Macaca fascicularis: one gene and its partners. The protein of the gene in region 1 interacts with the protein of each later gene in a biochemical or structural test. Links are inferred from orthologs where the notes say so. Each region holds a gene or a part of one and is shown in the gene's direction. Other genes may lie near its edges. The genes, in order: SHC1, CSF3R, GAB1, FLT4, ERBB3, ERBB4 and PTPN12.

What was found.
Region 2: the proteins of SHC1 (region 1) and CSF3R form a complex in vitro, tested with the Homo sapiens proteins (2 studies listed by BioGRID, with this or other methods). The link is inferred for Macaca fascicularis from reciprocal best matches to the Homo sapiens genes SHC1 and CSF3R.
Region 3: the proteins of SHC1 (region 1) and GAB1 form a complex in vitro, tested with the Homo sapiens proteins (2 studies listed by BioGRID and IntAct, with this or other methods). The link is inferred for Macaca fascicularis from reciprocal best matches to the Homo sapiens genes SHC1 and GAB1.
Region 4: the proteins of SHC1 (region 1) and FLT4 form a complex in vitro, tested with the Homo sapiens proteins (2 studies listed by BioGRID). The link is inferred for Macaca fascicularis from reciprocal best matches to the Homo sapiens genes SHC1 and FLT4.
Region 5: the proteins of SHC1 (region 1) and ERBB3 form a complex in vitro, tested with the Homo sapiens proteins (2 studies listed by BioGRID and IntAct, with this or other methods). The link is inferred for Macaca fascicularis from reciprocal best matches to the Homo sapiens genes SHC1 and ERBB3.
Region 6: the proteins of SHC1 (region 1) and ERBB4 form a complex in vitro, tested with the Homo sapiens proteins (2 studies listed by BioGRID and IntAct, with this or other methods). The link is inferred for Macaca fascicularis from reciprocal best matches to the Homo sapiens genes SHC1 and ERBB4.
Region 7: the proteins of SHC1 (region 1) and PTPN12 form a complex in vitro, tested with the Homo sapiens proteins (2 studies listed by BioGRID). The link is inferred for Macaca fascicularis from reciprocal best matches to the Homo sapiens genes SHC1 and PTPN12.

The regions. Positions count from the first base shown.
Region 1 is NC_088375.1:106,174,762-106,179,057, forward strand, and holds the start of SHC1 (SHC-transforming protein 1), read left to right. Parts: upstream 1-1,356; 5' UTR 1,357-1,577; coding exon 1,578-2,072; intron 2,073-2,653; coding exon 2,654-2,724; intron 2,725-3,267; coding exon 3,268-3,331; intron 3,332-3,487; coding exon 3,488-3,607; intron 3,608-3,844; coding exon 3,845-3,898; intron 3,899-4,070; coding exon 4,071-4,122; intron 4,123-4,296. UniProt on the Homo sapiens protein: Signaling adapter that couples activated growth factor receptors to signaling pathways. Participates in a signaling cascade initiated by activated KIT and KITLG/SCF.
Region 2 is NC_088375.1:198,438,324-198,442,785, forward strand, and holds the start of CSF3R (granulocyte colony-stimulating factor receptor), read left to right. Parts: upstream 1-1,538; 5' UTR 1,539-1,644; intron 1,645-2,890; 5' UTR 2,891-2,953; intron 2,954-4,325; exon of another isoform or gene 4,326-4,419; intron 4,420-4,462. UniProt on the Homo sapiens protein: Receptor for granulocyte colony-stimulating factor (CSF3), essential for granulocytic maturation. Plays a crucial role in the proliferation, differentiation and survival of cells along the neutrophilic lineage.
Region 3 is NC_088379.1:148,551,660-148,555,334, forward strand, and holds part of GAB1 (GRB2-associated-binding protein 1), read left to right. Parts: intron 1-751; coding exon 752-1,353; intron 1,354-2,561; coding exon 2,562-2,647; intron 2,648-2,838; coding exon 2,839-3,142; intron 3,143-3,675. UniProt on the Homo sapiens protein: Adapter protein that plays a role in intracellular signaling cascades triggered by activated receptor-type kinases. Plays a role in FGFR1 signaling. Probably involved in signaling by the epidermal growth factor receptor (EGFR) and the insulin receptor (INSR).
Region 4 is NC_088380.1:187,556,026-187,560,491, reverse strand, and holds the start of FLT4 (vascular endothelial growth factor receptor 3), read left to right. Parts: upstream 1-1,658; 5' UTR 1,659-1,673; coding exon 1,674-2,124; intron 2,125-4,466. UniProt on the Homo sapiens protein: Tyrosine-protein kinase that acts as a cell-surface receptor for VEGFC and VEGFD, and plays an essential role in adult lymphangiogenesis and in the development of the vascular network and the cardiovascular system during embryonic development.
Region 5 is NC_088385.1:62,869,405-62,873,079, forward strand, and holds part of ERBB3 (receptor tyrosine-protein kinase erbB-3), read left to right. Parts: intron 1-1,506; coding exon 1,507-1,658; intron 1,659-2,796; coding exon 2,797-2,983; intron 2,984-3,675. UniProt on the Homo sapiens protein: Tyrosine-protein kinase that plays an essential role as cell surface receptor for neuregulins.
Region 6 is NC_088386.1:107,522,363-107,526,037, reverse strand, and holds part of ERBB4 (receptor tyrosine-protein kinase erbB-4), read left to right. Parts: intron 1-1,945; coding exon 1,946-2,019; intron 2,020-3,137; coding exon 3,138-3,228; intron 3,229-3,675. UniProt on the Homo sapiens protein: Tyrosine-protein kinase that plays an essential role as cell surface receptor for neuregulins and EGF family members and regulates development of the heart, the central nervous system and the mammary gland, gene transcription, cell proliferation, differentiation, migration and apoptosis.
Region 7 is NC_088377.1:143,849,642-143,853,316, reverse strand, and holds part of PTPN12 (tyrosine-protein phosphatase non-receptor type 12), read left to right. Parts: intron 1-3,160; coding exon 3,161-3,675. UniProt on the Homo sapiens protein: Dephosphorylates a range of proteins, and thereby regulates cellular signaling cascades. Dephosphorylates cellular tyrosine kinases, such as ERBB2 and PTK2B/PYK2, and thereby regulates signaling via ERBB2 and PTK2B/PYK2.

The DNA.
Region 1 (4,296 bases):
GCTCACCACCACGCCCAGCTAATTTTTGTAGTTTTAGTAGAGACGGGGTTTCACCATGTTGACCAGGCTGGTCTCAATCTTCTGACTTCAGGTGATCCACCCGCCTCGGCCTCCCAAAGTGCTGGGATTACAGGTGTGAGCCACCTTACCCAGCGGGAATATGTATCTTTAACTTGTTTTTTGTTTTTTGGTCGCTTTCCAGCTTTGCCTATGGCATTCTCCAGAAGAGCAGTGGCAGGAAGCCGTGGGTGGCAGGAATGAGTTTGGGACTGTTCCCTGTGTCCAGCTTCAACCCATCTTCTCCTGACACCCCTTTCTCCTGTGCTTACTTGTTTTTTCTCCTGTTCTTATTGACACAGATGTGTCTTCTGATCTCTCTGTCCCTTCCTGGCCTGTCGTTTCTGCTTCTCTTGGAGAACTGTTTCTTCCACCTCCTCCAGCCAGGCTCCTCCCCTGGTGTGAGGGACACTGTGCTGTTTGGTGGGGCTTTGGGTCCTGTAAGAGGAGGGATATGAATTGGGGTGGTTTGGAGTGGGAGTGGGGACCTGATTGCCTCATTCTCACCCTTGACAGTGTGCTGTGTTAACAAGGCCTGTGGAAAGGGGAGAGGACAGTGCTTGGCTATGAGCCATGGGTCTTGGTGTGGTAGATGGCATACATAGAGAACAAGCCGTGACCAGCATGTCCTCTTGTTCCCCTCTTGCCTGGTAGCTTCCTGATGTACCATCCAGGTTGGACTTTATTCCCCTTTTTTCACCAACTTTGCTTCTCCTCTTGACCCTGCTCTGCATCCATTGGGACCACTTCCTTCCCATCCCCACTTCGCTAGCTCCAGTCCACAGCTGTCGTAGCAGAGGATGCTAATGGCCCAGGCTTACTGTATGGGGTAGTGGTTGGGGGTGGCCTGGGCTGGAGGGTGGGGAATTCGAGTGTCCAACCAGAACAGGAAGGGAAATGCTGAGCTCTGAGATCTCCTCCCTTTTCCACCCGCAGCTGCCTCTGTTTCCTCCCTCATTCCCCTCTACTCTAGCCTGGCTTCCTGCCCCCTTTGGCCTGCCTGTGTCCGGTTTCGAGTGACCCAGACCTCCTATCTCCTTTCTTTCCATCCAACTCCTCCATGCTTCCCTCCCACCCCCACTTTCCTTCTCCCCAGATTACTAGTTGTTTGTGTAGGGCAGGGGAGAGGAGCTTGGATAGCCCTACCCTCTGCTCCAGTCCGAGGTTGGGGCGGGGTGGGGGCTCAGCCCCTCTGAGCCTGTGAGTCAGCACTGTCCTCGTGATTGGTCTCTCCCTTTAGCTCTCCGCCCCTGGGGAGGAGCCAGGCAGCTCTGGGTCCAGCCTGTTCTCTTCTCAGCCAGAGAAGAGGCTCCACGTTGGGCGGGGATGGGGCCCGAAACTGTCTGGGTCTGAGCTGGGGAGCGGAAGCCACTTGTCCCTCTCCCTCCCCAGGACTTCTGTGACTCCTGGGCCACAGAGGTCCGACCAGGCTAAGGGCCTGGGAATACCCCCTGCCTGGCCCCCTTGCCCAAACTGGCAGGGGGGCCAGGCCGGGCAGCAGCCCCTCTCTCACCTCAGCTATGGATCTCCTGCCCCCCAAGCCCAAGTACAATCCACTCCGGAATGAGTCTCTGTCATCGCTGGAGGAGGGGGCTTCAGGGTCCACCCCCCCGGAGGAGCTGCCTTCCCCATCAGCTTCATCCCTGGGGCCCATCCTGCCTCCTCTGCCTGGGGACGATAGTCCCACTACTCTGTGCTCCTTCTTCCCCCGGATGAGCAACCTGAGGCTGGCCAACCCGGCTGGGGGGCGCCCAGGGTCTAAGGGGGAGCCAGGAAGGGCAGCCGATGATGGGGAGGGGATCGTAGGGGCAGCCATGCCAGACTCAGGCCCCCTACCCCTCCTCCAGGACATGAACAAGCTGAGTGGAGGCGGCGGGCGCAGGACTCGGGTGGAAGGGGGCCAGCTGGGGGGCGAGGAGTGGACCCGCCACGGGAGCTTTGTCAATAAGCCCACGCGGGGCTGGCTGCATCCCAACGACAAAGTCATGGGACCCGGGGTTTCCTACTTGGTTCGGGTGAGTGAACATCCTCCTTTCCATTGCCTCCCAGACCCCTCCAGTTCTTCTGCTCACTCCAGCTTGGCTGGAATTCTTTTTTCCTGCTGTTCCCCAACAACCCTGTTTCAGTGTTCTATTTCCTAAACCTTTCCCATCCCTTCCCCAATTCTGTAGCCCTTTCCCTTCCAGCTCTGCCTGGGCCCCCTTCCTTCTTTTGACTCCCCTACCCCCACCCTGCCATGCTTAGCACAATGCCCAGCATGGCAGAAGCTCTTAATAAGTGCTGGAAGGAGTGACTTCTTGATCCTTTCCTCCATTCTCCTCTCGCTTTCTGGAGTTGTTGCTCCATCCCAGTCAGTGCCTGTCAGTCCCCTCCAAACTCTCTCCCCAGTGCGTGAGGTCCTTCTAGCCTGCCTTTTCTTTCTCTGCTCGTTCCCTGTTGTCTTTCACCTTGGTTGTGGGATGTAGACACGGAAGAGGGCAGAACTTCTTCCTCTTTACTTCTCTTAGGGACCATATGGGCAAAGTCCTAGGGCCCTTTGTGAAGGGACTGGGGTCAGGGAGCGGCTGACCTGCTGTCCTCTCCTCCCTCCCCTTAGTACATGGGCTGTGTGGAGGTCCTTCAGTCAATGCGTGCCCTGGACTTCAACACCCGGACTCAGGTTACCAGGTTAGTGGGGAGGGAGTGGACTGTGGGAGTCCTGGGATTAGTGAGGCCATGGGAAAGGGCGGAGGGGAGTGGGTCACTTGGGTGCTGCTGGTTGGGGCTGATCTTTGGGTAGTAAAGGGGATTGAGAGAAAGCTGGGATAGTGATTCTGCCTCTTACTGAAAGGAGGCCCCTCTGGCCCGGATCCTCCTTACCTGTCCAGCCTTGGGAGTTGTGGGGAAGGTAGCAGAAGCAGCTGGCAGGTGGAGCTGGAGTAGCAAATGGGGGTAGATGGAAGGTTGCTGCTGCCTTTGGGAAGGGAATGGGACATTTGGTAGCTGGAAGGGGGTGGGGCTATACCCATTGAGGCCCTAACCCAATCAGCCAGGAAGCGGCCTCTCAGTGTCATCAAATATTAAAGGCCCTTAATTCAATCCACCACGACAAAGAGCCTGGAGTGCCCTGGGAGTCTGGCCTGGCTTTCCCCTCCCCCAGCTCTGTGGCAGCCCCAGTTGAGTGGGAGGCAGGCAGGCAGGCGCTGGGTCTGAGTACCCCTCTTTCCCCAGGGAGGCCATCAGTCTGGTGTGTGAGGCTGTGCCGGGTGCTAAGGGGGCGACAAGGAGGAGAAAGGTACTTGGGGTCCTTGGGGATAGGGATGCTGCTGGGAAATGTGGAGGGACAGTGAGGAGGCAAGTGTGGGGCATGTGGGGAGAGGGCCAGGAGACAAGAGTATGGTTTGTCTGTGCTGGGAACCCTCACCTTCTAAGACCCTGGGCCCTACCTTAGCCCTGTAGCCGCCCGCTCAGCTCTATCCTGGGGAGGAGTAATCTGAAATTTGCTGGAATGCCAATCACTCTCACCGTCTCCACCAGCAGCCTCAACCTCATGGCCGCAGACTGCAAACAGGTTGGTGGAGGTGGGCAGGTGGACCAGAAACACCGATGGGGGTGCTAAGGGGAGATCTAGTTAGGAGGCCAAAAACTAGGAAGAGGGCTTGAGAGCAGAAGACCAGTAGGGAAGGAGGAAATGAGGATATGGGATAAGGAACCCAGAGAATGAGACTGGGGCACCAGGGTTCTGGGCCCTGAGGCTGCCTGACACATGGCATTCCCTTCCTTCTCCATCCCCTCCCCTAATTCTCAGATCATCGCCAACCACCACATGCAATCTATCTCATTTGCATCCGGCGGGGATCCGGTGAGTTGGGGAACAGAGCAAAGGTGGTGGGAGAAGAGCAAGGGGCTAGTGATTGGGAAGACATTGATTAGAGAAGTGGGGGTGCTAGGACTGTGGGGATATCTGAAAAGGACTGGGTTTTAGGGGTCAGGAGTAAAGTGGAACTGTAAAATTTTCTGACCTTCCTCCCCAGGACACAGCCGAGTATGTCGCCTACGTTGCCAAAGACCCTGTGAATCAGAGAGGTGAGGCATGGTGGGGAGCACTGGGTGGGTCTGGCTGTTTGAGGTGAGTAGGACCTGGGGTCATTTGTACCCACTCTAAGTAGATCTAAGTGGGGGTTCCTGCCGAGGAAGATGAGGGCCCCTGTCTGTGCCTCCTCCCAGTGGGCTCAACTCACTGACAGCCTCTGCTGTGCC
Region 2 (4,462 bases), about 92 Mb from region 1:
CCCAGAGAAGGCCTCAATGAGAAAGGGACATTTAAGCAAAGACCTGAAGGGGAGGGACCAACCCATGTAGCTATTTGCAGGGGAAACAGTCCAGGCAAATGAAACAGCAAAGGCAAAGGCCCGGAGGCAAGAGATAGCATAACAAGTTCAAGAAGCAAAGAACACAGGGTAGCTGGAGCAAGGCAGCAAAGGGGAGAATAACAGGAGAGGGATCCAGGAGGTAATGGGGATACCAGGTTGTGTAGGGCCTTGTAGACCATTGAAAGGGCTTTGACTTTGACTCTGAATGAGACAGGAGCCATTGGAAAAGTTGGGACGAGGATGGCCTGATCAGACTTCTGTTTGATTGATATCGCACTGGCTGCTGAAGGAACTACAGACAGGTGAGGGAACGAGGATGAAATGGAAGCAGGAGAGCAGGGAGGGGGCTATTGCGATGATCTAGGCAAGAGATGAGGGTAGCTGGGAGCTAGCTAGTATTGGCTTCAGTTATATTTGTATTTTCCAATATATTATCATAAAAATATTTGAACGTAGAGCCAACTTGAACTTTACAGTGAATACCCAGGATTCTGGTTCTATTTTGAAAGAAGACAGTCCACGGGACTCACTGAGTGAGCAGAGCCTGTGGGGTATCTTGGGAGGGTTACAGTGGGCAGTCAGGTCATTTGACCTGGAACTAGAACTGCAGCCCTGGTCTGCAGCATCACACCAGACCCAGACGCCTAAAAATGATTATATGTTAAGGACAATCTGCTGGTCTGTTGGTACCTAATCTTTTTTGGGTTATGAATCCAATAAACTATGAGCAGTTTGAACCTTTCTCAGAAAATACAAGGAAAATTGTTTGTAGTTGCAGAGGAATCATGAATACAGACCAATAAAAGACATAAAATGTAGTCTATTTCACTCAATTACAAAATATTCAGTGTTGCAGAACCATTGTGGGTAAACATTACTAATTTTTAGTGAACATATGAGGACCCCGTGCCTCACCAAGACATCCTCCTGTCTTGCCCCCAGAATACCTGTTTCTCCATCTGCCTGGTCTATGGGCAATGTGCAGAATACGTAATGAAGAGGAGAGCAGTGAGTATTGGGTTATAAAATTCCCTGGAACCTGGAACACACCCTTCTGCCTACTGTGAAGACGTGGGCCCCAAGGCTAGAGCTGAAAAGAGGCTTGGGGCCGGGTGAGCCTTCCAGGCAGGGTCTGCCTCCAAGTGATGCTCCCCCAGGCTGGGGGGCATAGGGATGGAACCCAGCCAGGTGGGAGCCTGGGCCCTGCCCAGCCTCAAAGCTTCGAGCTCAGGAAATCCGGAGGCAGGGGAGGGGGACATCGTTGCCACATTCCCCAGCCCTTTAAGACCCCCAAGGCAGGAAGGCTGCCCGGGCCTCACCAGCTTCCCTCACAGGCTCCTTCCTGGGAGGAAGGGGCTGCCTGTGCCCTCGAAGGCGCAAGGGAGGGTAGGAGGGAGGCTCGGAAGGTGTTGCAATCCCCAGCCCCCGGGCCTGTCAGAGGCCGAGCCATTAACGACAGAGCTCGGGGAGAGAAGCTGGACTGCAGCTGGTTTCAGGAACTTCTTTTGACGAGGAGAAGAGAGACCAAGGAGATCAAGCAGGGTCCGGGCCAGAGGCTCCAACGTGAGTAGGGGATCCCTACAGAGGGGCTGAGCCTTGGGCTTGATGGAGAGCTGGAATCCTGGGGCCACTCCCCGCAGCTCTGCCAAGTGTTCATGTCCGGGGTCCTAGGCCTGGGGCCAAGGATTCGTCCTTTGGAACCCCAGCCCTGGACAGTGAGTCTCTTTTCACAGGATGCCCCTACTTTGGGGGGTATTGCACCAGGGAAGTCACTCACAGCCAAGTAGCTCCTTGGGGACACTGAGCTGGGCTGGGGACAGACATAATCATTCTCCCCTCCCCATGCCTCTGCCTCTCAGGACGTGTGTGTCTGAGTTCCAGCCGCGCAACCCCTCCCCGTCTGGGTCTCTATTTCACTCTCTGTTTCCATCTTTCCTCCTCAGCTTCTCCCTGGCTTGTTATTTCTCTGAGTTTCTCTGTCTCGCATATTTCCTGCTATCTCTTGAATCTTAAACTCTTGGTAACAGACCGCCTCCTGGGCTCCGGGCCTCCGAGTGCCCCCCACTCTCTGGGTCAGTGTACATCGGGCCCTTTTTCTGTGTCTCTCGACGCCTCTCTGGCCTCAGTCATCCTCTTGGTGGGTCTCTGTCATTTTGGTCTGTGCGGATTTCAGTCACCTCCTCACTCTGCCACTCTTTGTATCTCTCTCTCTCTTTTTCTCTATCTGCAGCACATCTGGAAGGGCCTCTCCCCTCTGTTTATTCCCAGCCCCCTCCTCCCTCCCCACCCTTCCCACGGTGAGAGTAGAAACAGCAAGGGGGCCAGGGGTGTGAACTGGGGAAGAGAGTGTGAGGGGAGAGGGTTGAGTGTGATGAGGGAGAAACAGAAGGAGGGGATGTGAGAGCAGCCAGCCCAGGAGGCATTAAGGTGTGCTGAGCCACGGGAGCGAGCACTTGCAGGGCCCAGAGGAGATGGCCAGTGATGGGAGGGCCAGGGGGCCAGGGAGCTAGGAAGAGGGGATCCAGAAATGGGGCTTTGGAACTGTGCAGTGTGGCACAGACAAAAGCAAGGTGGCAGTCCTGGGAGGTGTGACCACGCAGGCTGTGAGGAAGGCAGGGGTGAGGCGAGAACTGAACTGTGCTGGATTCCATGAGCTGCTGACTCGTTTTACGGCTCGTGAAAAGAACCTACGGTTGCTGAGTGCCAACTCCATGCCAGGCACAGTGCTAAGTGCCTTTACCATAATCATCTCATTTCATCCTCACAACAACCCTGAGGAGTGAGTGCTAATGTTCTTTCTTTTCCACAGATGGGGAAACTGAGGCTTGGCTCGGAAAGGTGAAGTAACTTGTCCAAGGTCACAAAGCAGCTGGTAAGTGGCAGAGCTGGAGATCAAGTCAGGTGACCTGAGTCTGAGCTGGGCTCCAAAGCTCTCTGTATATCGGCCCCCCAGAGAGTGAGACTGAACAGGCCCTAGGCCCACTCAACCAGGCTGGGGGATGTCTAGGGCTGCAGTGGAGGACCAGGGACTGAGGCCAAGCAGGGGGAGGATGCCGGGGCCTCTTGGGTTAGGTTGTCTACTCTGGACAGGAGCCAGTGGGGGTGGATATGGTGGTACTGCACGGGGCCCAGGCTAGGCCTGAAGCTGACCCTGGCTAGGGCAACAGGGCTGGGATATGATCAAAAGCACATAGAGATGAAAACCAATGTCCCAAAATCTGGGCCTTGGAGGCTAAATCTTCCCCGACCAGTGTTGGGGGGGATGGATAATCAAACTGGTATGCTGTAGTAAGAAGGTTACCAACCACCAATGGGTAGACAGATGCTCGGGATAGCTGTGCAGGTTTCGCACTGCACAAAACTGAGGAGTAACCAGAGCCGAAATCCAGGCTGTTCCCTAGTTGCCAGGTCCTAGTGTGGTGCTGCATCCGTCCCAAGGATGGGGTGTTTTCTTTCTGATTTGCACAAAGGAGACTTACAGGCTAGCAGTCACTGGGTATTCTGATACTGCACTATACACGAATAGACTGGGGGTTTGGGTAAGGCCCCTGAGAGCAAGAACAGCCTTGGTTATCTGGGCAGTTCTTATCCACACCTCTCTCTGGGAGGGAGAGAAAAGGATTCTCCTACCTTTCTCCCTGCTGAGCACGAGGGACCTGCTGGGACACCACCTGCGTGTATGTGTCCAGATATGTACATGCAAGCTGACCAACAATTCCCACTGATCTGCCACCAAGAGCACCAACTCGTGCTGGAGGATCAGGTGTTGGCCCCAAGACCCCAATGGGAGCAGGGTGAACATGAGGCTGGATACCCACCCAAGTGGTAGAAACCTCTGCATACTTCCTAAGACTGGAGCCAAGGCACCCTCCATCCAGGTGCTATGGCCGCGACCATATGATGCCTGACCCCAGAAGGCCACCAGAGGTCTGTGCCCAGAAGTGGGGGCATACTGGACCCCTCGGGTGCCCCACTTGATATTCTCTCAGCCCACATGGCTGAGGCAGCCAGCTTCCTGCAGGTGTAACCTGACAGCCCCTTGCCTCAGCTGCTCCATAGAGCTCTCCCTTTCATCCAGGGAGTGTGCCTGACAACACTGGCATGGCTTCCCCAGGAGAACCTGCCTAGTACTCATGCATGCCCAACCTGGATGTGCCAGGGAGTGAACACCCCAAGAGGCATCCCTTGACCAATGGGGGGCAGGGGTCAGTGGGTAAATCTTCCCATCTTCCCTCCCATCCAAGGGATAAATTGACCCTCCGGTGGACAGCTCTGAGAAGTGTTCTACATGGCTCTTGGGAAGGTTCCAGCAGGACAGAGCCCCAGTTGTCCATAGAGGTGACCAACATATGATGTAACCTTGTGTTGGCTTTCTCTCTGT
Region 3 (3,675 bases), on another chromosome or scaffold:
AGTGAGAGTGTGCTTGTGTTGTTAGCTTCATCTTGTCATATACCCAAATTTTGTGATACCTCAAAATGCAGAGACTGAAAATGTACATAAATATACTTTAATGAGATTTCTCAAAGTGTGTTATTGTTTGGAGTTGGTTAACTCTGTATCGTGTATTTCGATCCTCTTTAATGTTGGCTAAATGTTTGTTAAAGAAAAGTAGTGGAAAGGAAGATATGTGAAAAACAATTAGATGTCACCTTCTTGTAAGTCACATTGACCTTATTCAATACCAAGTAATCATTAGACTTTTAATTTTACAGAACAACAAATTTGCCACGGGGAGGTTTAAGACCAATGGATCAACTATATAAATTGTACTAGCACTAGGTTTTTGCATGCTCTTCAGAGGAAATGCTTTTCCTTGTGTCTATGCATTAATCATTTACCTTTCCCAGAGTTTTGTAATGTTTAATTCCAGTGCTTCAGGGATTGTGTTTTTATGTGCAAATTTAATAGGTGGAGTTGGGGGTGTGGGCAGATATAGGACAGAATTAGAGAGAATGCTTCTGTTGGTTTTGTGGTGGCGGTTTTGTTGTCTGGTGTATAATCATAAAAGCTAAAGAACATTTGTGCTTTAAATCCTATGGATCACACGAAAAATCTAATGAGAAAAGCCCTATCTTTTGATTGCTAAGCTATAAATATGTTTATAAAAAGTGTATTCTTAGTCTTCACCTTGTTTATTCTGTCATTAACAATTTTTATTTAGAACACACGCTGATTCTGCAAAATCCACCTCTTCTGAAACAGACTGCAATGATAACGTCCCTTCTCATAAAAATCCTGCTTCCTCCCAGAGCAAACATGGAATGAATGGCTTTTTTCAGCAGCAAATGATATACGACTCTCCACCTTCACGTGCCACATCTGCTTCAGTTGACTCCAGCCTTTATAACCTGCCCAGAAGTTATTCCCATGATGTTTTACCAAAGGTGTCTCCGTCAAGTACTGAAGCAGATGGAGAACTCTATGTTTTTAATACCCCATCTGGGACATCGAGTGTAGAGACTCAAATGAGGCATGTATCTATTAGTTATGACATTCCTCCAACACCTGGTAATACTTATCAGATTCCACGAACATTTCCAGAAGGAACCTTGGGACAGACATCAAAGCTAGACACTATTCCAGATATTCCTCCACCTCGGCCACCGAAACCACATCCAGCTCATGACCGATCTCCTGTGGAAACGTGTAGTATCCCACGCACCGCCTCAGACACTGACAATAGTTACTGTATCCCTACAGCAGGGATGCCGCCATCACGTAGTAATACCATTTCCACTGTGGATTTAAACAAATTGCGAAAAGGTCAGCTCTAGTTGACTTCTTCTCTATTAGAGGTTAATGATAGAAAATCGATTTTTCTGAATATTTATTCTTTTAAGTGTAGTTAAATATACTATGCTACAAAATACAGTCCATTTTTTTTCAGCTCTACAGTTACCTGGAAGGGTATATGTGCATTCATGCTCTGCTGGAAGGAAAAGAGAGTTGGAGTTTCTCATCCCTGAAGAAGTATGGCCTTAGTAATGCCTTCCTGCCTCAGGAAGTGTGCCCTTCTCTCTCCCACTTTCTATAATCCTGGGTGGATAGGCCCTCTGTTGGGACAGAAGCGCAGGAAATGGACCAGCCACAAAGCCTCTCCGAGTCATACCCTTTCCTGTATTTGTGTGCCATTATGGCCGCTTCTAAGTCACATCTGTTGAGCCCTATTTCCTTCCTTCCTATGTAAGCAGTTTTTGTGTTGTGTCTAACAGGTGATATTCTGTTCTGGTCAAGCCATTCTGCTTTCTCTTTGATTTTTACTTGTGTTTAAAGAGCTGAATCTTCTTTCCCCTTATCACTACTCACTTCACTAATTGTTAGTGAGTATACTTTCCTATACTGTCTCCTAGAGTCTGAACCAAAAGTTACAGACCTTGAGAGGAGAAGAGAAAATGAGTCTGGGTGATTCTCTGAGATTCTCAAAGTCCTAAAAATAGAAAGCTAAAGTTTTTAATGCACATATTCTAAATACTATGTGCTAAAATTTCTGTATTTTGTGGTAGACTTTTCCCCAGCTATCTCCAAGATAAACATTTAATGTATCTATGATTACTACTTAAATCATTACTTATTTCAGCATTCAATAACAATTTCTAACTCCTTTCTTGAAGTGACTGTATAACCTGGTTATAAGTTAGTGAAATGTAAGTTAGGTCCAAGGTGGTGCAAACAATGAGAAAATAGAGGTGTTACTCTTCATCTTTAGATAACCTATCTTATCCCAGACTTAGACATTCACTCACACTCAAAATTAGATATTGGTGTTGGTTAGCATATGAGTGAGTGTCTGCATTTTCTAGTGGTTTAATATGCCGATTCAAGATACAAGTCTGTGAGCATCCTTTTTAAAATCTATGTGTGTGCATATGTGTCTGCATATGTATAATGAGAGAAAGAGAATAGGTCATCCCAATGACCCTGAGAGCTGGCAAAGATGGGAAGAAATGTTGATAGTTTGTTCTTTATTTTAGATACTAGTTCTCAAGACTGCTATGATATTCCACGGACATTTCCAAGTGATAGATCTAGTTCACTTGAAGGCTTCCATAACCATTTTGTAAGTATAATTGACCTTGGCATTATCAAGTGTATTTCATTGTCTAAATCTTCATAATTAGTGCCATGGGACTAAGTGATATCATGAAATAAAAGTACGCTGAGATCCATATGAATGGATTTGACTTACAATTGTGTTTTCATGTGTGAGAAGAGTTTTTGTTTATTAAAATAAATATATATGTGTTTTAGAAAGTCAAAAATGTGTTGACAGTGGGAAGTGTTTCAAGTGAAGAACTGGATGAAAATTACGTCCCAATGAATCCCAATTCACCACCACGACAACATTCCAGCAGTTTTACAGAACCAATTCAGGAAGCCAATTATGTGCCAATGACTCCAGGAACATTTGATTTTTCCTCATTTGGAATGCAAGTTCCTCCTCCTGCTCATATGGGCTTCAGGTCCAGCCCAAAAACCCCTCCCAGAAGGCCAGTTCCTGTTGCAGACTGTGAACCACCCCCCGTGGATAGGAACCTCAAGCCAGACAGAAAAGGTAAGGAGAGCATGGCAAAGTAAAAGGCTTGGGGAGTGCCAAGTTAGATCTGTTTTTAACTGCCATTAAATCCAAAACAGAATTTGGACTAGAAATTCTGAAATATTTCATAGTTCCATAGCCATCAACTTATTTAAGCAAAGCAGTACTGCCATTTATAAATTAACAGTTTCTATATCACATGTTGATGTGAGGTGATATTTATAAGTCTCCTATCTCTAGAGCAGAGGTTACAAGCTAAAATACTCATAGGGTGAGCGGACAACTGGGGAGAATTAGAAGAAACTGGACTGCCCTAGCCCCATCTAATGGGAGTAACTAATCTACTCGGCTACAATCCTTTGTTGACTTGTGAAGTGATGCACCCATTCAGGCAAATCTTCTGGTATTTCAGGAGAAGCCAGAGATTTCAGATTTTATATGTATTATCTCTCGATTTTTAAAGTTCTGTCAACTAATTTAATTATTTTTAAGAAAATATTGCAGGCCAACCCAAACACTTCTGCAAGCTAGATAATGGCCTTCAGCTGCTA
Region 4 (4,466 bases), on another chromosome or scaffold:
AGATCACTTGAGCCCAGGAGTTCAAGACCAGCTTGGGCAACATGGCGAAAACCCATCTATGCAAAAAATTCACAGGGCATGGTGGCGCACACCTGTGGTCCCAGCTACTTGGGAGGCTGAGGTGGGAGGATAATTTGAGCCTGGTGGAGGGTTCAAGGCTGCAGTGAGCAGAGATCACGCCACTGCACTCCAGCCTGGGTGACAAAGTGAGACCCTGTCTTAAAAAAAAAAAAAAAAAAAAAGTATATTCTGGGCCAGACACAGTGGTTCACGTCTATAATCCCAGCACTTTGGGAGGCTGAGGTGGGCGGATCACGAGGTCACAAGTTCGAGACCAGCCTGGTCAACATGTTTAAACCCCCATCTCTACTAAAAATACAAAAATTAGCCGGTGTGGTGGCAGGTTCCTGTAATCCCAGCTACTCAGGAGGCTGAGGTGGGAGAATCTCTTGACCCCGGGAGGCAGAGGTTGCAATGAGGTGAGATCGTCCCACTGCACTCCAGCCTGGGCAGCAAGAGAGAGACTTCGTCTGAGGGGGAAAAAAAGTATATTCTGAAAAGAAAAAAAAAAGCAAAACATATATTTTGGTGATAAAATGATAAAGAAAAGCAGGGAAATGATAATGCCAGGGTAGTGGCCATGTTTGGGGGTTAGTGAGGGGTCTGTGATGGGTGGTGAGGGGATGTGGGGATGTCATTCTATGTCCCTTGGCCTGGGGAATGGAAACGCAGATGTTTGCTGCTTTAAAATTCAGGTTTATAATATGCTGATATATTATGTACTTTCCATAAGTGTGTTACATCTCATAATAAATCTTTCAAAGCTAAAAAAAATCAATATATGATTGATAAATACCTAACTTCATGTATCATTTGGTTACCTAGTTTCCCCAACCTTATTTATTAAATTTTCTAAACTATCCTCACTGATTTGCGATTCTAGCTTAATAATATAGCCAATTCTTACCTGGGTTTGAGAGAGCTAGTAGTGGTTATCGAAAATCTACTCTTGCTTTTTGGCGAGGATGAACGGACTTTGGGGGGCGGGGTGGGGGGATGGAAAATGTGAATGAAACGAAAAGCAGGGAGGGAGGATGAGACAGTCATGGTCATGGGCTTTATTATTAAACAGGAAAAATCTAGAGACAAACTGAAAAGAGAACGGAAGTCTGTGAGAGGGTTGCCAAGTCAGAAAGCAAAAGCAAAGTGTCGCTTTATTAAAAAGGTGGGGGCGGGTCCTGATTGAGCTGAGAACAAAACATTTGGGGGGGGTTCTAAAGCTTGGAGGCCAGGCCTGCAGGGTGGGGGTCGGTTATCCCGGGTGTCCCGCTCAAGGGTGCAGCTTCCATCGGCACTGTGCATCGCCACTGTGCAGGTAGTTAAAGACTGCTGGACGGGTTTTGTTTGCTTTGTTTGTTTTTTTGAGGCGGAGTCTTGCTCTGGCTCCCAGACTGGAGTGCAGTGGCTCGATCTCGGCTCACTGCAACCTCCTTCTCCCGGGTTCAAGCGATTCTCCTGCCTCAGTCCCCCGAGTAGCTGGGATCACAGGCGCGCACAACCAAGCTCGGCTTATTATTTTATTTATTTATTTGTTTATTTTTGAGACTGGGTTTCCCTATGTTGCCCAGGCTGGCGCCAATATTTTCAAAGATTTAACATACTGCTATTTTTACATGTACTGCTTTTTTGCTTACTCTGGATTTTATCGATGGAAAGAAAGGACAGAAAAGGGCGCGTACCGCATTTTGTGCCCCTTGCCCACCAGGCTCCATTCCCTCCGGAGCGCACACCGAGGCCGTCTGCGTTACCCGCGTCCCCGCGCCCGGAGCCGCCCAGGAGGGGGCCCGGACCCCGCGGTGCAGAGCGCGCACTGCTCGGGTGGACCGGACGCCCCGCGGCGGGCTGGGAGGGACCGGGGGGAAGGGGGGGCGCGGGGGCGGCCTGAATCCCTGGCCCGCCTCCCCGGGTCCCCGCCCCGCCCCGCCCCGGGCCAGCCTGCGCCCGCGACGACACTTTCAGCCCCGAGCCGCGGCCGCTCAGGTCGGACCCACGCGCAGCGGCCGGAGATGCAGCGGAGCGCCGCGCTGTGCCTGCGACTGGGGCTCTGCCTGGGGCTCCTAGACGGTGAGCGCGGGGCCGCCGGGGAGGGGGCCGGCCGGGGAGGGGGACCGCGCACCTGGGGCGGGCGCTGAGACCGCTCCGACGGGGACGGGCGGGGGACACGGTGGCCCCGGTGCGCGGACGCCTGAGGGAGCACGGCGCTCGGGGCCCGGGACCTCGGGATGAGGAAAGGGCGGGCGGGGACTGCAGCCGGGTCAGGGCCAGGGCGGCCGGGCCGCGCCTCGGCGCAGGGTTCGCCCTCCCGGCCCCGAATCGGCTTCTCCGTGGGTGGCTCCGGGTCCTCCAGCCGGGCCCCGTCGGGCTGCGCGCTGAGCCTGGATCCTTCGTGCCCTTCCTCGCTTCCCCGCGGGGTCTCTGCGCCGCGCCGCTGGCCCGACCCACGCGCACCGGAGATCCCGGCCATCCCGGCCCCAGACCGGGTGCGCACTTCCCGACGCCCGACGTCTCCGCTCGCGGGCGGTCCCCCAGAGGGCGCTCGAGCCGGGCTTCCACCTCCCGCGGCCGGGGCTGCAGCGCAGGGGCCGGGACTCCCGTGCGCAGGAGGCTGACAGGTGCAGGTGCAGGTGCAGGTGCAGGTGCGCGCTGGGACCTCAGAGGAATCTTGAGGAGGCGAATCGGGGGCTGTCAGCGCGGCAGAAGGGGCAGAAGGCCAGGGGTCCCCGGATTTGAGGGGACAGGGGCCTTGAAGGCCGGCTGAGGAGCAGAGGCCCCCGCGGGAGGGTCCCCTGCCCAGGAGAGGCGGGGTTCGGTTTGTGTTGGGAATATGGCTCTGGCGGGGAGGGACCCAGACCTGAGGCGGAGGCGGAGGGGTTGGAGAGAGGGATTGGGGGGGATGAGGGAGGGGCAGAGGGAGTGGATGGAGATGTCAGGATAGGGAGTGGATGGCGATGTCAGGATAGGGGAGTGGATGGCGATGTCAGGATAGGGAGTGGATGGCGATGTCAGGATAGGGAGTGGATGGCGATGTCAGGGAGGAAGCTGAGAAGATGAGCTGGGAGTCCACACGGAGCTGGTGTCTCTGGAAATCAAAGGGTGGAAGGGCGGGGTCAGGGGTTCCAGTGTCTGAAAGGGGAGTGCCGGGAGCTATGAAGCCAGCGATGGGGACCTCAACATTTCTGCACGCCATAGGAATTAAATACTGGCTTTACATGCTTGTAATTCTCACAGGGAGTGTCAGACTCATTTTACACATGGAGAAGCTTAGAGCAAGGACGTGTGTCACTTCCCCAAGATCCCCAGGAGGCCCAAAGGAGCCCGACAAAGCCTGCCTTCTGCCCACCACCTGTATGTCCACGGGCTGAAGGGCAGAGGCCAGGAGAGGGGACAGGTCTGGCTCAACCAGGGGAGGAGGGAGGAGAACATCTGTCTGGGCCCCTGAGTCGGGCAGGTCAGATCAGGGTGCTGCCCTTGGCCCTCCTGGACCCCGCCCAGGACCAGGCTCTCACAGGTGCTCAGGATGTATTTGTGAGTGGCTGTTAGAGCTTGGTTGGACTGCAGGGCTGTAGAATGGGAGACACTTAACCCAGAGGAGACATGGGATGGGCGCCTGAGTGCAGTGTCTGAGGCTGAGCTGAGGACCTGGAGAGGGAGCAGAGAGACCCAGGAGGGGACCCTGGAGGAGGGGCCCAGAAGGCAAGGGGGCTTCCAGGGAACATTCTGCAGGTCTGAGGAGAACCCGGAGAGGCCAGTGTGCTGTGCTCCCGGCTGGAGCACGGCGGGATGTGGGGTGAAGGGTGACGAGACCATTTTTTGCAGTGGGTGCAGTGACTTAGCGACCCAGTTATGAAGAGGAGAGAGGGCGTAAGTGGGGGCCCCATGGAGAGGGGTGTCCTGGGCTGGACCTGGGTTTGGCTGGTGGGGAGATGGCAATAGAGACTGAGGTCATCCCTCCCTAAGCCCTGCACCTTGCTCTATCCCCTGCTAGGCTGAAGACCCCGGGAGCCCCCAGCTTGGTGGGGGATGCCATGGCGGGAGCACAAGCCCTCAGCTGCAGTCGGGTGTCAGAGCAGCTGGGTGGGAGCAGGCCGGAAGCCTGAGCACCGTGAAGCTGACCCCTTAAACATGTGCTGTTGGTCATAGAACCGGACTTGTCCTGCCTCCCCCGTAAAGTCATTTCTGTGTGACCTGGGCCCCCTCCTTTCCCCTCCTTGCACCTCAGTTTCCCCAAGCATAACCATGGCATACGCTGGCAAGCACCGGGGTTGTGTGGGTTGTGTGTGCTTGGGCTGGACTCCAAGACTCGGTTTCCTGCTTCAGTTCCACAGTCTTGCCCTGGTGGAGAGGGTAGGTCGCAGATGTCTCTTGGGGCTTCGTCTAGAGAGAGGCCATTGGCACCTCTGCACGGT
Region 5 (3,675 bases), on another chromosome or scaffold:
ACACTACTACTTCCCTGTGCAGAAAACTTGGCTCCTCCCTTATCTGGGGAGAAGGATTGGCACTATAACTTGGGAAAGGGGGTGTCCTGCCAGGAAGGGGACTGGGGTGGGGCTGTTCCAGAAATGACTAACCTTCCTAGTCTCTTTCATTTCAACCCAAGGACCCTGGAGTTACCAGCTCCTCTGGAACTAGCTCTCTTTGCTGGGACTAGCCAACCTTCATGGGGAGTGATAAGGAGCCCTCCAAGGTCAAGAATTCAGACTAGGGGTATATAAGAGGGATTGGGGCCTCACCAGTCTCCCTCCCTCCATTCCCACTGTTGCCTCCCACTGACTACCACTGCCTCAGGGAAGGGTGGCTGGAACAGGTGGTATCTACCCCCTATTCCCCACCCCACACGTGGTCTTTCGCTGAACCAGAAGAAAGAGACTGGGGTAGGGCTTCAGAGTCCAGGATTTTCCATAGGCCATTGTCCACCACATTTGCAAAGAGTGAACTCCCAAGGCTGACATGCCATGTGCCTCTAGTCTAGGCTTTCCCCTAGTGCGGGTGAGGATTGCCATGGTGAAAGGCTTTTTCATGAACCTCTTCTAACAATGAAATTGGGTGGAGGCTCAGTGTGGGGCATCTCCTACTATTTCTCTCCAGGTGTCCCTGTATTTGCTAAAAAATACTCTAGGGCTGGAAAGTGATGCTGAGGTTGCTAGAGTGTGTTGGGATAGGGAGAGAGAGTGAGAAGGAAAGCCTGAGTTTAGGAACGTGGGGAGGCAACCAGCTTCTTATCTTCCAGCTTTAAACACAAAGCTCCCATTGACCCCCCCCCCACCCCACCACTGCCAGAGCTCCCTCCTCTACTGAGGTCACTTGTCTGAGCCCAAGGCTTGAGGGTGGAGGGGAGTGCTGCTGAGGATGGGGTGTCTAGGGATAGGGTGGGGCAGCCCCCCTCCTGGATAGAATCGCCTCATTGTGGGCTGGACTGTGGCCCCAGGCACTGCCCCCACCCTCTGCCCCCATCCCACCCTCAGTTGACACAATAGGGGCTGTGTACTAGCCCCAAAGAGATATTTATTCCAGGACCTAGAGAGAGGCAGGATGAGGGTAGAGAAGTGAGTGCCCTGCTTGGAGGGGGAGAGGAGGGTAATCAAAGTTTCGGCCCTTTCCTAACTTCTCTTTTCTAGGGAGGGAAACAAATTCACTGTCATCCTTCTCTATTAACCCCTTAGTACCCAGAGTGGTACCCAAAAGAGGCACAGAGGGGTCTCAGGTAGAAAAAGGAAATCTTCACCTTCCCATTCATAGAATGGTAAAGGGATTCTGAGAAGAGAGAAAGCTCTCAGGCCACTACAGCTTCTGCCTATCGCTTGTGGGAGGGTTGGAGGCAAATGCCCTCTGATCCTGTCTAATGTAACTGGAAGAGGGCAACCAAGGGGGTGATCTTGGGGGATGGCAGATGGGCTGTGAATTTGTGTCCAGCCCTCAGCCACTCTTCCCTCTGCTTTGAACAGTGTGTCCTGGGACTCTGAATGGCCTGAGTGTGACCGGCGATGCTGAGAACCAATACCAGACACTGTACAAGCTCTACGAGAGGTGTGAGGTGGTGATGGGGAACCTCGAGATTGTGCTCACGGGACACAATGCTGACCTCTCCTTCCTGCAGGTTAATGTGCACCCTCCTTCCTCAACCTGCTCCTCTTTATTCTCCCCTAGAACCCTCCTTCCCTCTTCAGGGCTACCTTCTGCTGGAGTTCACCCTTCCTAAGACTCAGGAGTTCCTAAGATCCAAACCCGCGTATTTCTGGGGACAGTGGCTGTAATCTGGGACCTATGGTCTCGCTGTTGTAGCCAGGGATATATAGGGGGCAGGGGCAGAGGCAGGGGCGGGGCAGGTGGTGTTCTGTGGTAGTGCGAGGTCAGCAGGGACTAGCGCAGAGAGACACCTGAGGACCGAGAGGGTACCTGGGGAGATGAAGAAAGGGCCCGCCTGGCATGAGGAGCTTTGAGGAGAAAGCTGCCTGTCTTCACTCCCAGAAGTGACATAGTAGTGTGACACAGTCTACTCCCTACTCCAAAATAGGAATTAGCAAGAGTTAAGGAGAGGTGCAGTGGCTCATGCCTGTAATCCCAGCACTTTGAGAGGCCAAGGAAGGCAGATCACTTGAGGTCAGGAGTTCAAGACCAGCCTGGGCAACATGGGGAAACCCTGTCTCTACAAAAATACAAAAATTAGCTGGGCCTGGTGGCACGCACCTGTAGTCAGCTACTTGAGGGCTGAGGTGGGAGGATCGCTTGAGCCCAGGAGTTTTACACTGCAGTGAGCCGAGATTGTGCCACTGGACTCCAGCCTGGGTGACAGAGCGAGACCGTCTCACCAAAAAAAAAGGTCAAGTGCGGTGGCTCATGCCTGTAATCCCAGGACTTTGGGAGGCCGAGGCAGGCGAATCACCTGAGGTCAGAAGTTCGAGACCAGCCTGACCAACATGGAGAAACCCCATCTCTACCAAAAATACAAAATTAGCCAGATGTGGTGGTGCATGCCTGTAATTCCAGCTACTTGGGAGGCTGCGGCAGGATAATTGCTTGAAGCCGGGTGGCGGAGGTTGTGGTGAGCCAGGATCGCGCCATTGCACTCCAGCCTGGGCAACAAGAGCTAAACTCTGTCTCGAATTTTAAAAAAAAGAAAGAAAGAAAGAAGGAAGAATTAAGAGTTAAGAGTCTTTAATGCCTGAAGGAGGAGAGGGGATTGAGATTTTTTTGCCCTGTTGTCTCTCTCATTGACATAATCTGCTCTGTCACAGTGGATTCGAGAAGTGACAGGCTATGTCCTCGTGGCCATGAATGAGTTCTCTACTCTACCATTGCCCAACCTCCGAGTGGTGCGAGGGACCCAGGTCTACGATGGGAAGTTTGCCATCTTCGTCATGTTGAACTATAACACCAACTCCAGCCACGCTCTGCGCCAGCTCCGCTTGACTCAGCTCACCGGTCAGTTCCCGATGGTTCCTTCCGGCCTCACCCCTCAGCCCTCAGACTGGTACCTGCTTGATGATGACCCAAGGCTGTCCACTCTAAGTGCCTTTTCCAAGGTGCCTGTCACCTTGGTAACTGTCTAATGGTCCATTGCTCCCTAAGCAATAGAGGGCCCCCAGTAGGGGGAGCTAGGGGCATCTACTCCAGGGAAAGGAACCATGTGTCCTGGTGGGGCTGGAGTCAGAGCCGGATCTGTTACCATTTCTCTAACTTCAAAGTACAGTGTACTGGAGGCCAGGCGTGATGGCTCACACCTGTAATCCCAGCATTTTGGGAGGCCAAGGAGGGCAGATCACTTGAGATCAGGAGTTTGAGACCAGCCTGGCCAACATGGCGAAACCCTGTCTCTACTAAAAATACAAACAAAACAAAACAAAACAAAATTAGCTGGGGATAGTGGTGTGCACCTGTAATTTCAGCTGCTCAGGAGGCTGAGGCAGGAGACTCGCTTGAACCTGGGAGGCGGAGGTTGCAGTGAGCCGAGATCGCACCACTGCACTCCAGCATAAGTGACAGTGAGACTGCGTCTCAAAAAAAAAAAAAAAAGCCAAAGCACAGTATACCTGGATGTCCCTCCTTCCCTAGGAATTCTACCTTTGCTCTCCTAAACCAAACCCCTATGAGCTGAGGAATATAGGAGTTAAAAA
Region 6 (3,675 bases), on another chromosome or scaffold:
TACTATGTATTTCAAGTGGCTACAGGATGCAACTCCCAAGACATACTTTGAAGTCAGTGAGTGGAATTCTGTCAACTTATTTTACAAGAGTCCTGAATCTCTAAAATTAACTGTATAAAATATCTGTGGTCTGTTGGGCTTCATGTTAACATTCCGGAATTCATTTCATTCCCGGTAACATAGAAGTGTTCTCAGTAAAGGTTTGGACTGACCCCGTTATTGTGTGCTTGCCCTGAATTTTGAGTCTTTCTCAATAAAGGCAGAATATTTGATTATATGACCTGAGCTGTTCTATACACTGCTTTTCATCAAAGAACAAATGTTGAAAGCTCATTCTTGTACTGCAGAGCTGATATTTCCTCTGTATACAAAATTCTTTGCACATTAAAAAGTGAAGGCAACAGTTTTCCTACATGATACACTTCATTTTTGGCTTCATATTCATCGAAAGCATAGTTATTTGTTCCATATATCTTTGCTTGTAAATAGAGAAAGTTTGCTAGAACGTTTAATTGAGACTTTAAGCTTTTGTGAGATATTAATATGACATTGAGAAAATTTTAATCAATAGTTTATGTGTGAATTATAGGGAAACACATTTTTAGTGTTTCTCCAACCTCAGCAATATCCAGTATTTGAGCCTAGTATAAAGTACTCCATGTTAAACTAGCAGTACATTGTATTGATTGCACTTCTTGGTTTGAAACAGTAATTTAATCAAGCAAATTTTTTTAAAGATGTGGAATGGTTTGCAGTAGAGAAGAATATGCTGATGAACCAAGTTCAGAAAGGCAGTATAAGGTGGTTCCAGAGATCAAGTTGCTGGAACTGATACTCTTTTCAAGACTTGAATGCTGGCATGAATAAATGCCAATGGATTCAGACACAAATCCTCAGGACATAGGCCATATGCCTATCTGTTTGTCAGGCGATTATGGAGCATGTTGATTGATAGCCCTATTAAGGCTACTTAGAGTGGATCACTAGTGGTTATTCACCCTACCGAAAAGGAATGTTCTCAGAGACCGGTAAAAGAAGAGATATCTACAGTAAGAATAAAATTTGTTTGACTGCTACAGGTAGATACATACTTCTAAAAAAGCCTAAGATCACTGTTCTTAGAAGTTTTGACCTATCTTGAAGAAGCAGCCAATGGATAAAATTTAATCTCTCTGTAAATGATATATGTTAATATGAGGTGTCTACCTAGGATAGCACGAAATGTCTTTTAATGTAATAAAATTTTAAAACTTACTGTGGATTTCTTAAAAATAAAAAACAAAACTGGAAGTCTTACTTGAATTCATATACATGGAAGCGAATAGTTCCTGTGTTATAAACGTGAATATGAATAAGCTAGATAGGAACAAGATGGTTCTAAGTAATCTGTATGAAGAGATACTTTTGGACAATGTCATAAATATTATGAAAATTCATGAGTAGATAAATGTAGAGCTACAGAAGAAAAAAATGTCAATTTTATCTGTGCTTGTTTCTATCCTTCTTATGAATTCCAGGTACTATTAGCAATGTATACTTCTTTGAGGAGCAGAAATACCAGTTGTTCTCACTATAATATAATTTATTTCTAGACTATATATATTCTTCCAAATCAATAATAAACTTTTAAAACAAAGCAATGTCAAGTGGTTCATACATGAACTTGCTATCTTTGAGAATTTCATCAGAATAGTTCAATCTGAATAATCTTATAGATCTAGAATAGGCTTTGATGAAAATCTCATATTTTGTGACATCAAAAATGTCCACAAAACACCTACTATTCCTCCTCCACATCTAGCACAGATTAATTTAGACATGCATTGATAACGCCCCTATTGCTAATTAAAATTAAATTAGAATAAAATAACTACTGTCACATTTCTCATATTTTCACTCCTTTATTAAAATTTAAATTTGGCTATGTTTCTTCTTGATTTTCTAGGGACCCTTACAATGCAATTGAAGCCATAGACCCAGAGAAACTGAATGTCTTTCGGACAGTCAGAGAGATAACAGGTAATTTTTTAAACTGCAACTGTTGTGCTATGAACAACGTAATTTTAAAAAAAAATTGCATAAGATTGGCTGGGCACAGTGGCTCACTCCTGTAATCCCAGCACTTTGAGAAGTCAAGGCGGGTGGATCACGAGATCAGGAGATTGAGACCATCCTGGCCAACATGGTGAAACCCTGTCTCTACTAAAAATACAAAAATTAGCTGGGTGTGGTGGTGCGTGCCTGTAATCCCAGCCACTCAGGAGGCTGAGGCAGGAAAATTGCTTGAACCCAGGAGGTGGAGATTGCAGTGAGCCAAGATCACGCCGCTGCACTCCACCCTGGCAATAGAGTGAGACTCCATCACAAAATAACAACAAAAAAGAAAACAAAACAGAAAAAGTTACATAAGATTGGAATCAGCAACTAATTTTCAAAGCAGATTTTAGTTTGTAAAAACTCGTATTATTTTTAAAGATGGTATTAGCTTTTATGCATATTTTGAAAGCCCATGGAATTACAAAATGAGTGTCTTTGAAAGTCTGACATTACAACTCTTGCAAGTGTCAACTGATCTTTGAACCCATGTTTTTCTGTTTACTTCTTCAAAAGAAGTACTCTTGAACATGGATAACATGTAGCATTTATTTAGCACATATATATTAAGCCTGTAATGTGTTCAACATTGTCTTAGTGGGTAATATGGGGCCCATAGATATGAATCAGACATGGACTTACCGTAAAATAATGCAAAATCTAATGAGAAAGGTTAGATACGTATATAAATGTCTTAGAATATAAGGGTGACACTGATATCGTAAGTATACAGATGAAGAGGTAAAAGATTTCGGAGAAATTGAAACTATATTTTTCTCTTCATCTAGTTAGACTACATTCTTGCATTTATAAGAATAAATCAAATTGAGTCATTGAAACCTTTCAACATATAAAGTTTTACCGGGTAAGAGACTCAATCTTGGAAGAATACATACGTAATAGAGTGCTTCAAAAATAGAAATGTTCACTACTCCTTTCTCACTTCCCACCTTTCAACATGTTTTCACCATATTTCAAGAAAAATCAGCACTAATACTAAGACAATGATATTCTGATTTATTTTTACTACTCTTCACTTGTAGGTTTCCTGAACATACAGTCATGGCCGCCAAACATGACTGATTTCAGTGTTTTTTCTAACCTAGTGACCATTGGTGGAAGAGTACTCTATAGGTAAGTGGATATGTTTAAAGTTGCAGGTCTCACAGATTTCAAGAGGAGCATCGTCTGGGCATTAAGTCAAAACCATCACTCTTATTGATTTACTGATTCTGGGGAAATCATGCTTCCATCCTTATTTCCAAAGATAAGCTCATTGAAAATACCTCCAATGATGGTATGAAGTATTACAGAATACATAGTTTGATTTTTTCAATTGTCTGTCACTCAAAATAATATTAGTATTTTGCAAGTATGGGGTGCAAGATATGAACAATTAATGAAACTTTCTTTTTTATCAGATGTTATCATAACTAAAAGATAAGAGTTGTGTGACTTGGTAATGGCTCGGGTGTATAGGATACACATGCTGTTGTGCCAGGAGATTCTGTTCTTGTCTCTGGTGCTATAATTTGAACTACACATCACAGGGCTGATGTTTTAGGAACAGGTCCGCCATTC
Region 7 (3,675 bases), on another chromosome or scaffold:
CACACCTATAATCCCAGCATTTTGGGAGCCCGAGGAGGGCGGATCACTTGAGGTTAGAAGATCAGCCTGGCCAATGTGGCGAAACCCTGTCTCTGCCAAAAATACAAAAATTAGCTGGGCATCATGGTGCATGCCTGAGGCTGAGGCAGGAGATTCGCTTGAACCTGGGAGGCGGAGGTTGCAGTAAGCCGAGATCGCACCACTGCACTTCAGCCTGGGAGACAGAATGAGACTCTGTCTCAATAAAAAGTAAGTAAATAAAATACTGATTATGGAAAAGTGGTCTGATGTACATGTCGGGAAAATAATACACCTCAATTTATATCAAAATTTTATTTCATCCTTTTAAAACTCGTATTTTCTATTTGTATTATGATACGTTCTTAGGATAACCTATTGGTCTTTGTATATGCTTTATAAATTGTAGGAGGTGCCTACAATTATTTTTTATTTTAGATTGCAAAAATTTGATAGCTACTCTTTCAGATTAAGAACCTACTTGCAGGCCAGGTGCAGTGCCTCACACCTGTAATCCCAGCTCTTTGGGAGGACATGGCAGGTGAATTGCTTGAGTTTAGGAGTTTGAGATCAGTCTGGGCAACAAGAACATGGCAAAATCACATCTCTACAAAACATACAAAACTTAGCCAGGGTGATAGTGCACACCTGTAGTCGCTGCTACTTGGGAGGCTAAACTGGGAGGATGGCTTGAGCCCTGGAGGCAGGGCTTGTAATGAGCCAAGATTGTGCAACTGTACTCCAGCCCAGGTGGCAGAGTGGGACTCTGTCTCAAAACAAAATAAAGAAGAAGAATCTACTTGTAAAACTTCAACAGATATAGGAATATCTTATGAGAGTATTGCTGTCGTTGTAATATGATCAATATTCTGGAGATATTCATTTATCTTGTCATGTCCTATTCTAGGAATGTTGGAATGTGTCTAGAGAATCTGAACTTCACAGATAAAATTATTTATTTAATTTATTTATTTATTTTGAGACAGACTCTCGCTCTGTCACCCAGGCTGGAATGCAGTGACATGATCTCAGCTCACTGCAACCTCCACCTCCCGGATTCAAGTGATTCTCCTGACTCAGCTTCCTGAGTAGCTGGGATTACAGGCGCACGCTACCATGCCTGGCTAATTTTTGTATTTTTAGTAGAGACGGGGTTTCACCATGTTGGTTAGGCTGGTCTCGAACTCCTGACCTTGGGAGGCCTTGGCCTCCCAAAGTGTTGGGATTACAGGCATGAGCCACCATGTCCAGCCCACAGAGTCTCTTTTAAGGGGAAACCTGGTGTACCATGTGATTACTGCCAATTATCTGGTTGGATAATTAAAAGGTTGATCACCTGCGGGGAAAAAAAAAAAAGCAAAAACTCTGAGGTGGGATCCCGTGGCTCACCCCTGTAATCCCAGCACTTTGCGGGGGCCAAGGCAGGCAAATCACTTGAGGCCAGGAGTTCGAGACCAGCCTGGCCAACATGGCAAAACCCCGTCTCTACTAAAAATACACAAATTAGCCAGGTATGGTGGCATGTGCTTGTAGTCACAGCTGCTCAAGAGATTGAAGCACAAGAATTGCTTGAACCCAGGAGGTAGAGGTTCCAATGAGCCAAGATGGTGCCACTGCACTCCAGCCTGGGTAACAGAACGAGACTCTATCTCAAAAGAAAAACAAAAACTTGAATATACAAGCCCTCAAGAAATTTGCATCATATAAAGTTCTTAAAAAGCAACAAAGCCTGGGCAACATAGTAAACCCTATCTTTTTTTTTTTTTTGAGACAGGATCTCATTCTTTCACCCAGGCTAGAGTGCAGTGGCATCATCACAGCTCACTGCAGCCTTGACCTCCCTAAGCTCAGGTGATCCTCCTACCTCAGCCTTCCTAGTAACTGGGACTGTAAGCACACACTGCCACACCCAGTTAATTTTTTGTATTTCTTGAAGACACAGGGTTTTGCCATATTGCCCAGGCTGATTGTGAACTCCAAGTAAGTCACGGTGCGCAGCCTTTCTCTCTCTCTCTTTTTTTTTTTTTTTTTTTTTTTTTTTGAGACAGTCTTGCTGCGTCACCCAGACTGGAGTGCAGTGACACGATCTCAATTCACTGCCATCTCCACGTCCCGGGCTCAAGCAATTCTCCTGCCTCAGCCTCCCAAGTAGCTGGGACTACAGGTGTGTGCCACCACACCTGGTGAATTTTTGTATTATTAGTAGAGATGGGGTTTTACCACATTGCTGAGGCTGGTCTCAAACTCCTGAGCTCAAGTGATCCACTCACCTTGGCCTCCCAAAGTGCTGGGATTACAGGCGTGAGCCACGGTGCCTGGCCCCCATTTCTTTAAGGAAAAAAATAAAAGCAACTAGAGGGTGTAACCCACCCAAACAAAGGAGTATACCCAGAAAGAGGAAGATGGGACCTGGGAAACAGGAGAATCTGAAACCAGAGAGAACATTAGCTCTGTGGTGGCTTAGGGAACCAGTAGTCCACACTGGAGCAGAAGGCCAAAAGTTACTAAGAAGGATGTCTGTGGTATTGATAGTTACTGTGTGTGTTTGTCATTATTGAGAGGAGGTATACCAATCTGCAAGAAAGTTAGAAGAAAAGCTGAGTAACTGATGGTGCATAGAGAGCTAAGCAATCAGAAACCCAAGGCAGTGGTTAGGGGAAAACAAGACATTGTAGAAGAAAAGATATGAAATCATGGTGTCATAGATGTGAATAATATCTGCAGTCATATGACTGAGGTAACGAAAAATTACAATATAACAGTATTGGAAAGATAGAGAAGGACACTTCCACAGTAGGAAGTCAGTAGAAAATATGTGAAATAGAGATCAAGAAATAACTTTTGAAATAGTCTGAAATACAGAGGTAAATTTTAGAAGCAGCTGTAAAAAAAAAAAAGGTTGAAAGTGGATGCCTCTGGCTAACAGGAGGGCTACAGGGCAGAGACTATGTTTTTCATTAAAAGTCTTTTTAAGCAGTATATGTATTACCTTGATGAACATTAAATTTTCTTAGTCTGAAAAATTACAGTTTTCACAACCAGATTCTAATGGCTCTTAATATACTAGTCTTAGCTACATAATTCTCCTGTATCAACTTGTTTAACAGTCTTAAAATGCCCTTTTTAAATATTTGTTTTTCAGTTGCCTTGTTGAAGGGGATGCTAAAGAAGAAATACTGCAGCCACCGGAACCTCATCCAGTGCCACCCATCTTGACACCTTCGCCCCCTTCAGCTTTTCCAACAGTCACTACTGTGTGGCAGGACAATGATAGATACCACCCAAAGCCAGTGTTACATATGGTTTCATCAGAACAACATTCAGCAGACCTCAACAGAAACTATAGTAAACCAACAGAACTTCCAGGGAAAAATGAATCAACAATTGAACAGATAGATAAAAAATTGGAACGAAATTTAAGTTTCGAAATTAAGAAGGTCCCTCTCCAAGAGGGACCAAAAAGTTTTGATGGGAACACACTTTTAAATAGGGGACATGCAATTAAAATTAAATCTGCTTCACCTTGTACAACTGATAAAATCTCTAAGCCACAGGAATTAAGTTCAGATCTAAATGTCAGTGATACTTCTCAGAATTCTTGTGTGGACTGCAGTGTAACACAATCAAACAAAGTTTCAGTTACTCCACCAGAAGAAT